Linked DNA regions of Callithrix jacchus. The protein of the gene in region 1 purifies or fractionates together with the protein of each later gene. This does not show direct contact. Links are inferred from orthologs where the notes say so. Each region holds a gene or a part of one and is shown on either strand. Other genes may lie near its edges.

What was found. The genes of interacting proteins can lie anywhere in the genome.
Region 2: the proteins of ZC3H4 (region 1) and CSNK2B purify together in Homo sapiens (affinity purification with mass spectrometry; 3 studies listed by BioGRID and IntAct, with this or other methods). This does not show direct contact. The link is inferred for Callithrix jacchus from reciprocal best matches to the Homo sapiens genes ZC3H4 and CSNK2B.
Region 3: the proteins of ZC3H4 (region 1) and WDR82 purify together in Homo sapiens (affinity purification with western blotting; 4 studies listed by BioGRID and IntAct, with this or other methods). This does not show direct contact. The link is inferred for Callithrix jacchus from reciprocal best matches to the Homo sapiens genes ZC3H4 and WDR82.

The regions. Positions count from the first base shown.
Region 1 is NC_133523.1:41,043,101-41,046,600, reverse strand, and holds part of ZC3H4 (zinc finger CCCH domain-containing protein 4), read left to right. Parts: intron 1-1,677; coding exon 1,678-1,789; intron 1,790-2,330; coding exon 2,331-2,440; intron 2,441-3,500. UniProt on the Homo sapiens protein: RNA-binding protein that suppresses transcription of long non-coding RNAs (lncRNAs). LncRNAs are defined as transcripts more than 200 nucleotides that are not translated into protein.
Region 2 is NC_133505.1:39,169,693-39,173,776, reverse strand, and holds the start of CSNK2B (casein kinase II subunit beta), read right to left. Parts: upstream 2,801-4,084; 5' UTR 2,685-2,800; coding exon 2,609-2,684; intron 2,288-2,608; coding exon 2,205-2,287; intron 1,241-2,204; coding exon 1,138-1,240; intron 556-1,137; coding exon 440-555; intron 1-439. UniProt on the Homo sapiens protein: Regulatory subunit of casein kinase II/CK2.
Region 3 is NC_133516.1:34,802,070-34,806,008, reverse strand, and holds the start of WDR82 (WD repeat-containing protein 82), read left to right. Parts: upstream 1-1,139; 5' UTR 1,140-1,429; coding exon 1,430-1,590; intron 1,591-3,939. UniProt on the Homo sapiens protein: Regulatory component of the SET1/COMPASS complex implicated in the tethering of this complex to transcriptional start sites of active genes.

The DNA of each region.
Region 1 (3,500 bases):
GTGGGCAACATAATGAGACCCCCATCTTTTAAAAAAAAATTGAAAAAGCCCAGTTTGGTGGCGTCTGCTTATAGTCCCAGCGTCTAAGGAGTCTGAGGCAGGAGGATCTCTTGAGCCTGGGAGATCAAGGCAGCAATGATCTGTGATTGCGCCACTGCACTTCAGCCTGGGTGGCAGAGTGAGAACCTGTGTGAGAAAAAAGAAAGGCTGGGCGCAGTGGCTCACGCTTGTAATCCCTGCACTTTGGGAGGCCAAGACGGGTGGATCACCTGAAGTAAGGAGTTCGAGACCATTCTGGCCAACATTGTGAAACCTCATCTCTACTAAAAATACAAAAATTAGCTGGGTTTGCTGGCGGGCGCCTGTAATCTCAGCTACTTGGGAAGCTGAGGCAGGAGAATCACTTGAACCTGGGAAGCAGAGGTTGCAGTGAGCCACAATCATGCCATTGTATTCCAGCCTGGGTGACCAGAGCAAAACTGTCTCAAAAAAAAAAGAGAGAGAGAGAATAGGCATTTCTAAGAGTTAGGGGGATGGATCAGCTCTGTCTTCAGTTCACAGTGCTGGTGAGTGATTCCTGAGGACCAAATGATGAGGGGTGGAAAACACAATTCTGGATTTCACCCACGTGTTGTGTTGTTGATTGTGTTCAGCTGGAAATAAAGGAAACCTTAACTCTATTGGCTTCAACATATAGATATTTGTTTCTCAGAACCAGGACTCCAGAGCTGGGTGGGCTGTACCTGACAGTGCAGTGGTCAGGGGCACCCTGGGGATCTAGGTTCCTTCCTGCTTGCTATTCTGCCATCTTTAAACCTGTGGCTTTTGGCTGGGCATGGTGGCTCAAACCTGTAATCCCAGTACTTTGGGAGGCTGAGGCTTGCAGATCACTTGAGGTCAGGAGTTCGAGACTAGCCTGACTAACATGGAGAAACCCTGTCACTACTAAAAATACAGAATTAGCTGGGTGTGGTGGCTCATGCCTGTAGTCCCACTTACTCGGGAGACTGAGGCAGGAGAATCGCTTGAACCCAGGAGGCGGAGGTTACAGTGAGCCAAGATCACACCATTCCATTCCAGCCTGGGCAATGAGAGTAAAACTTCATCTCAAAAAAAAAAAAAATGTGGCTTTTGTCCTCATGGTTACATGATGGCTGCTGTGCCTCATGGCATCACATCCAGGTGCTAGGAGGAAGAGAAATGGGCAAAAGGATTTTCTTTAAATTCAGGAAGTGACCAGTCTTGGTGGCTCATGCCTATAATCCCAGCACTTTGGGAGGCCAGGGTGGGAAGATCACTTGAACCCAGGAGTTTCAGACCACCTTGGGCAGCATAGTGAGATGCTGTCTGAACAAAAAATTTCAAAACATACTAGCTGGCTTGGTGGTGTGGGCCTGTAGTCCTAGCTGTGGGAGGATCACCTGAGCCCATGTGGCGAGGCTGCAGTGAGCCGTGATTGTGCCGCTGTGCTCCAGCCCGGGCAACAGAGTGAGACCCTGTGGGCAACAGCCTCTGGCACCTGTGCTTCCTAGACCTGTCTTCCTTTCCCAGGGGGAATTTGTTTCTTTCCCTGGCCGCTCCATGCACCAGCAGTGACAGCATTTCTTCGCAGTGCAGATAGAAGTAAGCGAGAGCTCCCCACATCACCGCCTTACGTTTTCATTGCTTCTCTTCTAGGGAGACCACTGTAATTTTAGCCATGACATTGAACTCCCAAAGAAGCGAGAACTGTGCAAGTTTTACATCACTGGATTTTGCGCCAGAGCCGAGAACTGCCCCTATATGCACGATATCCTTTGGTGCCAGCGTCTGGCCTGAACGAGGTGCAGAACTTCTCTGTTCCTTGATGGTAGTAACAGCTGACCTTCCTTTGCTGTGCTTTCTCTCTCTGTGCCAACAGCTTTCTGTGAGTCTCCATCTCATCTAACCCTCACGTCTGCCCTCAGAGGGCTCTGCCTTTCCTCTCCTTCCAGGGAGTAAATGGAGATGCACATGGTGCCTGTTTTGTCTTCTGAAGGCTCCCAAGACTAGCCCATACCATCACCCGAGATTCTTCCGGGGCTTTTATACCTTGGGCAAGTCGTTTAACTTCCTCGGTCTGATTGACAATCTGAGGACGAAGCCCCCAGCCAGTGTGATGGGGCAGGAAGTGGTCTGCAGTCTGGAGTGCCGGGGTCTCTCCATGGGTCTGCTGCCAACCCACTGAGCAGCCCTGAGCACCTACCCTCACCTCTCTGGGTTCAGTTTTCTCATCTCCAAAACAAAGGGAATTGGATTCTGCCTTCGGGAGGGTTCTGTGAGGTGAAGCATTTACCTTAATTTGCATGAACGCGATTTCCCGTGTAAGCTGTACCACACCACGGGGAACTGCATCAATGGTGACGACTGCATGTTTTCCCACGACCCTCTGACCGAAGAGACCAGGGAGCTCTTGGATAAGGTAAGGTCCGGGGGTCCCAGGGCTCACAGGAACTGGGACATGTGCACCCAGGCCTCAGTGCTGTAGCCTGCCTGTCCAGCCTCTGTAGTGCCCAGCTGAGTTTATTGGAGTTGGGCCATTCTAAGGAGGACATGGGGACTGTGTTCTCTTCTGCAGGTAGTTAAGGTGAGCACGTGTCTTGTGTTAGGCCAGGACAGGCTGCTGCTGTTTCCCCAGGGAAAAGGCCAAATGAAAGGAATACTGCCTGATGTACTTCCAAGCATGGATTGTGATCTCTTAGCCGTCATTTAGAGAGAGCCCACAGTATACAAATATATACAAATCACCTGTAACCCCAGCACTTTGGGAGGCTGAAGTGGGAGGATCGCGTGAGCTCAAGAGTTTGAGACCAGCCTAGGTATGTAGTGAGACCTGAGACCTTGTTTCTGCTAAAAATTTAAAAAATTGGATGGGCTGGGCACAGTGGCTCACACCTGTAATCCCAGCATTTTGGGAGGCTGAGGCTGGCAGATCACCTGAGGCCAAGTTTTCAGGACCAGCCTAGCCAACATGGCAAAACCCCATCACTACTAGAAGTATAAAAATTACCCAGGCGTGGTGGCACATGCTTGTAGTCACAACTACTCAGGAGGCAGAGGGTGCAGTGAGCTGAGATTGCACTCCTGCACTCCATCCAGCCTGTGCAACAGAATGAGACTCTGTCTCAAAAAAAAATGCAGGCCGGGTGCAGTGGCTCACACCTGTGATCCCAACACTTTGGGGGGCCGACGTGGACAGTTCATGCGGTTAAGAAATCGAGACGATCCCGGCCAACATGGTGAAACCTCATCTCTACTAAAATACAAAAATTAGCAGGTCATGGTGGCACATGCCTGTAGTCCCAGGTACTCGGGAGGCTGAGGCAGGAGAATCGCTTGAACCAAGGAGGCGGAAATTGCCATTGAGCCAAGATTGCACCACTGCACTACAGTCTGGGCAACACAGTGAGATACTCTGTCTCCAAAAAAAAAAAAAAATTGGCCGCTGGGCGCCGTGGCTTACACCTGTAATCCCAACACTT
Region 2 (4,084 bases), on another chromosome or scaffold:
AGGTGAATAAAATGGAAGGGGTTGGCAGGTAGGTGTTAAGAGAAGAGGCAACTCCCTTCTCAGCCCAACCCACATCACTCTGTCCCCCACTCCTCCCACCTCTGTCCAGAGGCCCCTTCACTGGCCCAGATGGGCTCTCAAACTCCTATGTTGCCTTTCTTCCAGTTAGGCAGACAACAAACCATCAGAGCCATTCACTGTTTGTTCCTTGAGGAAGAGCCAATCTATAACAACTCTCTGTTCAAGGTCTGTCTCCCTCCCTGAAAACGATCCCTTCAGGATGACCCCCAATCAGGATTAAATTCCAAGGCCCAAGTTCTGGGGTTCTTCCCCTCTTCTCAGCTAGCTTCCTTAGCTGGGCTGAAACATGACTTCTTGCTGCAGGAACCTGTTTCTCTTACTGCTCAGAAAGAGGCAAGTGGGAGCAGAGTGGCCTCACCATCTGGGCAATGCCACGGTTGGTAAGGATGTAGCGGGCGTGGATCAATCCATAAAGCATCTCGGCTGCCTGCTCAATCAAGTCACTCTGGTTGGGGTTGTCTTCCAGTTCTTCATCTGAAACACAGCCCAGCCAAATGCAACCACTTGTTTTTCAGCTTTCCTAGGTGCCCTGCCCATACCCAGGGGCTGCTAGCTATTCAGTTTGCCTAGCACCTACTTTTGAGCCTTACCCTATCCAACACCTGGGCATGTGACCCAGAAACCTGGGCTTCTGACGCTTTCACCAGCCCAAGGCAGAGCTCTGCCTTCTCTTCACACCTCGTCAGCCTCTGCCCTCTCCTCTCCTCTCCTCTCCCTCCCAACTCCCTCCTCAATACATAAATGCGACAATATCAATGCAGAAGATCAAACTCCGGACTAGAAGGTCCAAGGTAGGAGAAACAGACAGCAAATGAGACCCATGAGGAAACCCATTTTGGAATAGATCCGAACTGTGGATTTAAAAAGTATGGGAAACAAGTGATAATGCGTCACAAAACTAGACAAGAGTCAGGTGGAGGATCAAAATAAAGCATGAATTTGGGGTTAAGAAAATCAGAGAACCAAAGGAAATTTCAAAATTCAAGCAAGTGAATAGGGATCTGAAGAGAAAAAAAAGTACACGCACACACACAAACAACCCTGAGGGTGCCTCACCAGGCTCCAGGTCCAAGATCATATCTAGAGCTTGTCGATAGTGAGGGACCTGCTCATTGAGTCCAGTAAGATTAAATTTGTCCTGGATGTAGTCTTCATCCACCTGTCAGGATATGGAAGCCAAGAGGGAACCCATGTCAAAATCTCCATCTTTAACGTGAGCAAAATGCTCTAACTGATGCCTTGTTATCAACCTAACTGCTCTGTTCCCCCTTGTTTCTCACTTGAAACTCAGCAGAAGTACTCGCGTCTCTTCTCTGTTCACCTATACTCCCTCCCATAAAAGCTTTGGCTTTTGTTTTCTAAGGATAAGCAGGTACAGCAGTCTTTTTCTTAGAGAGACATTCTTTTCAAGATCTCTATCCTTATTCCTGTCTCCCATCGCTAGGAACCATTTTGTCCTCTCAGCTGGCTAAGGAAGGTGGAAGCTGAACAGCCTGGTTTCTGAACAAAAGATTTGGATACGTAGCATTTCAATTCTCCTAACGGCCACCTGAGACAGGTACTAGCAGTGCCACTTTAGTAATAAAAGACACACGCTGGGTGCACTGGCTCATGCCTGTAATCACAGCCCTTTGGGAGGCCAAGGCGGGCAGATTACCTAAAGTCTGGAGTTCGAGATCAGCCTGGGCAACCTAGTGAAACCCTGTCTCTACTAAAAATACAAAATTAGCTGGGCGTGGTGGCAGCCACTTGTAATCCCAGCTACTTGGGAGGCTGGAGCAGGAGAATCACTTGAACCTGGAAGGCAGAGGTTGCATTGAGGTGAGATCACACCACTACACTCCAGCCTGGGTGACAGAGCAAGACTCGGTCTCAAAAAGAAAAAAAGAGAAAGTCACAAATTGCCTAGTCCAACGTTATATTGCTGGAGGATGGCAGAGTTGGGACAGGCCCCAATTTTGCCACTTTAGCACAGATTTGCCGGGGGTTACTGAGGGGACTCTTCATTGATGGGAAGTTTTCAAGTAGCATATAAGAGAACGATGAGGAAGTGGAATATGTGGAGAAACGTCTAGTGGGAATCTATGTGGAGCTGGCAAGGAGGGGGGTTGAAGAGAACTCACTTCACAGAAGAATTCATTGCCACGGAGCCCACAGAACCAGGAAATCCAGGACACCTCCTCTGAGCTGCTCATCTTCACGTCAGCTGGAAAACGAAGAATGTCAGTAAAGCTCAAGTTCTCCCTCCTTGCCTCTGGTATCCTCCCTCCTCCCACATTCGGCCCTCCAACCACGGGAGACTTTAGAATTTGGAGCCGTCCTTTTTTAAAGGATCCCAAACTCTGAAACACTCCTCTCCAGCTCCTCTAATTTACGTCTCAGCTCCTTTTCTTTGAGGTTAAACACACTTTGGGGTCCCACCACTTGAGAGAACCCAACAGATACTTTGACCCACCAGCCTGACCCACATCCCTGGAGCTCCCGAAGGCCAGGGCCCTCTCTACTTTGTGTCACCTCCAGCACGGACCTCGGCTCAGGCTCCCTACCACTGCAGCTCTCTGCATGACCCCGGCGCCTTTCCCAAGCGTTTCGAAGTTTATCATTCTCTAGCAAGAGCCGGGCCCCTCCTCTTCTTATGGGCTGGAGCGACCGTCAAGTCCCTTTCACTGGAGTCCACACATCTTGCCTCCGCTCCTCAGGCCACCTCTCCCTCCTTTGTGCCGGACCTGGTCGCTTCCTCCCCCGCCCCCACATCAAAGTACGGAGACCCCATGTGCTGCTCCCAACAAGAGACTCTGAGTAGCGACGACCTCAGACTCACCGCCTGGACGGGGACCAGGACTGGGGTGGGGTAGGGAAGTCGCTAGTTCCAAAGAACGGCGGCGACCGCTACAGCGCAGGCCGCGGACCCGACCGCGGCAAGAGAAGTGGGGTGGGGGGGAGTGGAAATTGGGGAGGGTGGGGAAGAGGGCAACACGCAAGCGCCAAGGGTCAGGTGCTGCGATGGATGCCGGGACACGGAGTCCCAGGTAGAAAGAGAAACTGGTGAAATGAAGGAAAAGCGAACTACCAATCCCAGGAAGACCCGCGGACGACCTGGCTGTCACGAAGCCCCGGAGGAGGACGCTTGCGGGCGGGGCACAGCGAGAAGCCACCGGAAGCGGAAGCCAGGTATGACGTTTGGGGCCAGGGAGCCTGGGAAATATAGTTGTGTGCTCACTGGGAGAAAAGCCGAGATGGGGCGGGGAGAGGAGGGAGACACGCAGTTCCCGTCTAGTTCCGGCGCAGCGGGGCGCTGCTGCCCAGGGGACTGGCCCATCCCCGGCCAATCCGCTGGGTCCTTATTGATTGTTGAGCCCCTAGTGAGAGTCAGTCCCGCCGGACACCCTTGACTGGCCTCCTGTTACCCTCCCGGCTCTGGCCTCATGAGGCGAGAGGTGCAGTTTGGCTCCGTGCGTAGGGACTTGGGTTGGGTGGGCTGGGCTGAGCTGAGCTGAGCGTTGTGAGAACCAGAACGGCCCAGTGCGGTAACCTGAGGTGGGGCCAGCCATTTCGCTCGTCCCCTTGCACTTCTCCTTTTACGCTCTAAGTGTGACCTTAGAACCCTGGTCAGAGTAATGGTGAGGGGCAGGCGTGACGTTATTTCATTTCACGGCTTCTCGGCATTCCACAAGTTTCCCTCCGCCTCCTGAGGGCCTTTCCTAACACGGAGAGTGGATTCCCAGGTCCAGAAAATGGACTTGGAGCGAGGGGGCGGGGAGGGGGGCGGTTCACGTTGAGGAAGGCGAAGGGCATTGTGGGGGCGTATAGGTAAAAGTAGAACCCTAACCGACAGATCCTGGTGCTCGCGCCAGCGGGGCGCGCAGAGCTTTGCGCGTTTGCTATTGGAAAGGTTCCAGCGCGGGAAACTGAACTGGGAGCTTTGCGCACGCCTGAGCCCTCAAGTAATGTGGGTTGTGGTTTTTGTTGTTGTTGTCGTCGCCACGCATGCGTCTTCGTGCCG
Region 3 (3,939 bases), on another chromosome or scaffold:
AATGTGTAAGATTTAACACTAAAAGGGGCGAGGGTTGCATCTATAAGGTTTATATGCATATATATGAAGAGAAGAAGAAATTCGAATTTAAAACTGTATCCTCTGGCTGGGAACAGTGGCTCATGCCTATAATTCCAGCACTTTGGGAGGCCCAGGCTGGCAGATCACCTTAGGTCGGGAGTTCGAGACCAGCCTGGCCAATATGACAAAACCCCATCTCTACTAAAAATACAAAAATTAGCTGGGTGTAGTGGTGAGAGCCTGTAGTCCCAGCTACTCAGGAGGCTGAGGCAGGAGAATCGTTTGTACCTGGGAGGTGGAGGTTGCAGTGAACTGAGATCTTGCCACTGCACTCACCTGGGGGACAGAGTGAGACTCCTTCTCAAAAAGAAAAGTTATGAAGCCGGGAGCAGTGGTTCATGCCTGTAATCCCAGCACTTTGGGAGGCTGAGGCTGTTGGATTACCTGAGGTCAGGAGTTCGAGACCAGTCTGACTGACATGGTGAAACCCCATCTCTACTAAAAATAAAAAAAAATTAGCTGGGCATGGTGGCACACGCCTGTAGTCCCAGCTACTCGGGAGGCTGAGGTCAGAGAATTGCTTGAACCCCGGAGGCAGAGGTTGCAGTGAGCGGAGATAAGACCAATACACTCCAGCCTAGGCGACAGAGCGAGACTCCGTCTCATTGAAAAAAAAAAATTGTGCACTCTATTGTATATCACAGCCCAATAAAATAGTAAAGAGGTCGAAGCTGTCTAAGCGGGCGCTGCGGTGGAGTAGCGGTCAAGACCGCCTGCGAGCGGTTCACCTGATTCACCCCCAAAACCGGCTTCCAGCCGCGTTCCCGACCCCAAAGCACCCCTTCCGCGCGGCTTGCGGTTGGGGCGCCTGTAGGGGACACCCGAGCCTTCGTAGGGGGATGTTGCAAGCCCGCGCAAGGGCCCCCGGCTCCCAGGCACTCGCCACCTTCCGACACCCTGGGGAAGGCCCTGCACGTCCCGACCCTTCCCTCCCAGCAGCCCGCCGAGCCACTACACTCGACAGCGGCAGCGCTGACGTCACCGCCCCGCCTCCCCGCCTCGCGCGGCTGTTCCCGCCCCGCCCCCTTTCCCGACGTGCGCCGCGGCTAAAGCTCCTCGCCCTCCGCTTCTGCCTGTCGCCCCAAGATGGCGGACACAATGAGCCGGCTACGCGCTAGTTGCCCCTGAGGTGGCTGTGAGGACCAAAGATCGGCGAGGCTCCACAGTCCAGGCAGAAGACTGTTGTCCAAGCAGGAGGAAGGGGAGGAGGCGGCCCAACTGTCGGCCGACTTCCCGCTAGCCGCCGGCGCGGCGCCGGCCCCGCCTGGTTGGCCCCTCGGCAGCCCGCCCGCTCGCCGCCGGGCCCCGCCCCGGCCCTGCGCCGCCGCTGCCTTCCCCTGCCGCCGCCATGAAGCTGACCGACAGCGTGCTGCGGAGCTTCCGCGTCGCTAAGGTGTTCCGCGAAAACTCGGACAAGATTAACTGCTTCGATTTCAGCCCCAACGGCGAGACGGTCATCTCGAGCAGCGACGACGACTCCATCGTGCTCTATGACTGCCAGGAGGGCAAGTGAGTGAGGCGGAGGCCCTGGGCCCGGGTCTCAGTCCCTCCCTCCCTCCCTCCGGTGGCCCAGCACTGGTCCCTCTGCCCGCCCTCCGTCTCGACTTCAGTCCCCGGTCTATTTTGCACGCGTTCCTGCCAGGGCCACCTTCACCCCGCAGCCGTCCAGGAGACCTTTTATTTTTTCTTCTGAAAAAAAAAAAAAAAATTGTGATAGTCATAATAATGGCATTATTATTTGTATGTCTAAGGTCTCCTTAAAGCGCTATGCATCGCTTGCCAAGCCCCACCTTGACCTTGACCTTTAAACGCCCGGTCTGCCCACCCCGGGCCCAGCAGGTAGCGTTTTCAGCTCCTCAGGTTCTCTAAGGTGCTGGTCGTCTCCGTCCTCGTCGCAGGACTGCAGGGGCGGCTCTCCTGACTCCTTCGGCAGCTCTCTCTTCTGCCCTCTCCGCTGTGACCTCGATTCCTCCCTGGCACTCCGCCCATCCCCTGCCCCTCAGCTTCTTGCGACCTTTCTGCCGTCAGGCCGCGTGGGTTGCAGTTCTTAGCTGTCAGGATTTATTTGTTGTGCCTCTTTGAGCCCCCTTGCATTTTCTTCCTGTTCCTAGGCTCTCTCTTACTCCGTCAGAATCGGTGCCCACGTTCTTAAGTGAACTTCTCAGCAGCATCTAAAACTTCCTTTTTGCCACATACAAACAAACTTGGTCGTCCCATCCTGACCTGAATGTGAGCTTCCGTTAAAACAAAGCAAGCATCGTAGAACATTTTTGGGTTTCCTTTCATCCTTTTTTAAAAATTATTATTAAATATGTTGGTCCACTTTGAATTCCAATTCTGACCATGACATTTCTATGTTGCCGCAAGTCATCTGGAGACCCACCACACCTGCATCTTTTCACAAAACCTAAGCACGGCACTTTGCCTTTTTCCCTGGGGGGTCCCTGGCAGCCCCCTCACCGCACGCCTGTGGACTTGCAGCTCCTTGGAGCCAAAACTAGCTTAGATTAAATTCGTTTTACCCTCAGCCCCCTTCCCCATGAAGGCTTGCTGATGTTTGGTTTAAATCGGTGGCCCCTGGTTTTGTCAGACTTGATTTTGTTACTTAGTAACACATCTTGTTTTTTTGAGATCTTGGGTTTTTTTCTACCTTCTCCAGCTGTTTCTTTTGCTTTTTTTTTTTTTCCCCCCCTGGTGTCTTTTGGAACGTGTCTTTTCATTTGTGAATTTGATTATCTGAGGTAACACTAGTTTGGACTGAGCTATAGTGGTATCCCCCCCCCACCCCCAGTTTTTTCCCACTGGGGCTGTGAAAAAGTGTTATGTAACTGGCTCTGGATCTGCTTGCAGTATGTGGCAGGGTGGTCTTGAGGAGGGAATTGTTAGCTGGGCAAATAGTTTGAGTCAGTGTTACTCATTTAGTAGATAGATTTCTGTCCTGGTCTGGTCACTTGAATCAGTTTAGAAGAGGAAGTAACATTTAAAGGTATGGTAGTAGCTGGAGTTGTGGAGTCCTGGAGTAGTAATTTGAAGCTGGCTTGCATGAAACGTTTAGTGCTTATGCACAGATTAGGACCTCTTCCCAGAATATGAGGATGGAGATCATATATCCTCATTTAAAGAAAATGAAGGTTGTGATAGCATTTCTTTGCAGTTTGTCCCCAAATTTGGCATAATTTCTCTTTGGGAAGTATAACCTTGACATGAGTCTGGTCTGGTTTTTTTTTGAGACAGTCTCCCTCTGTCGCCCAGGCTGGAGTGCAGTGGCATGATCTTGGCTTACTGAAACTATCGCCTACTGGATTCAAGCGATTCTCCTGCCTCAGCCTCCTGAATAGCTGGGATTACAGGTGTCCGCCACCATGGCCTGCTAATTTTTGTGTTTTTAGTAGAGATGGGTTTCACCTCATTGGCCAGGCTGGTCTTGAACTCCTGACCTCAGGTGATCCACCCTCCTCAGCCTTCCAAAGTGCTGGGATTACAGGCATGAGCCACTGTACCTGGCCAAGTCCTGTCTTGTTAAGAGTAAAATGCCAATTTTGTGACATCAGGCAGTTTATTCACTCATGTAGCATTTTTATGTAATTACAAACATAGAAATTTGCAAGTGTTTCAGAGAACTGCCATATGATTCAATAACTGGTTACATTTTCTGCATTTGCTTCATTACTGCATGTAAATATTTATATATACTGTGTGCCTCCCCCCAACCCTTTTTTTTTTTTTTTTTTTTTTGAGACGGAGGTTTGCTCTTTTTACCCAGGTTGGAGTGCAATGGCGCAATCTCGGCTCACCACAACCTCCGACTCCTGGGTTCAGGCAATTCTCCTGCCTCCTGAGTAGCTGCGATTACAGGCA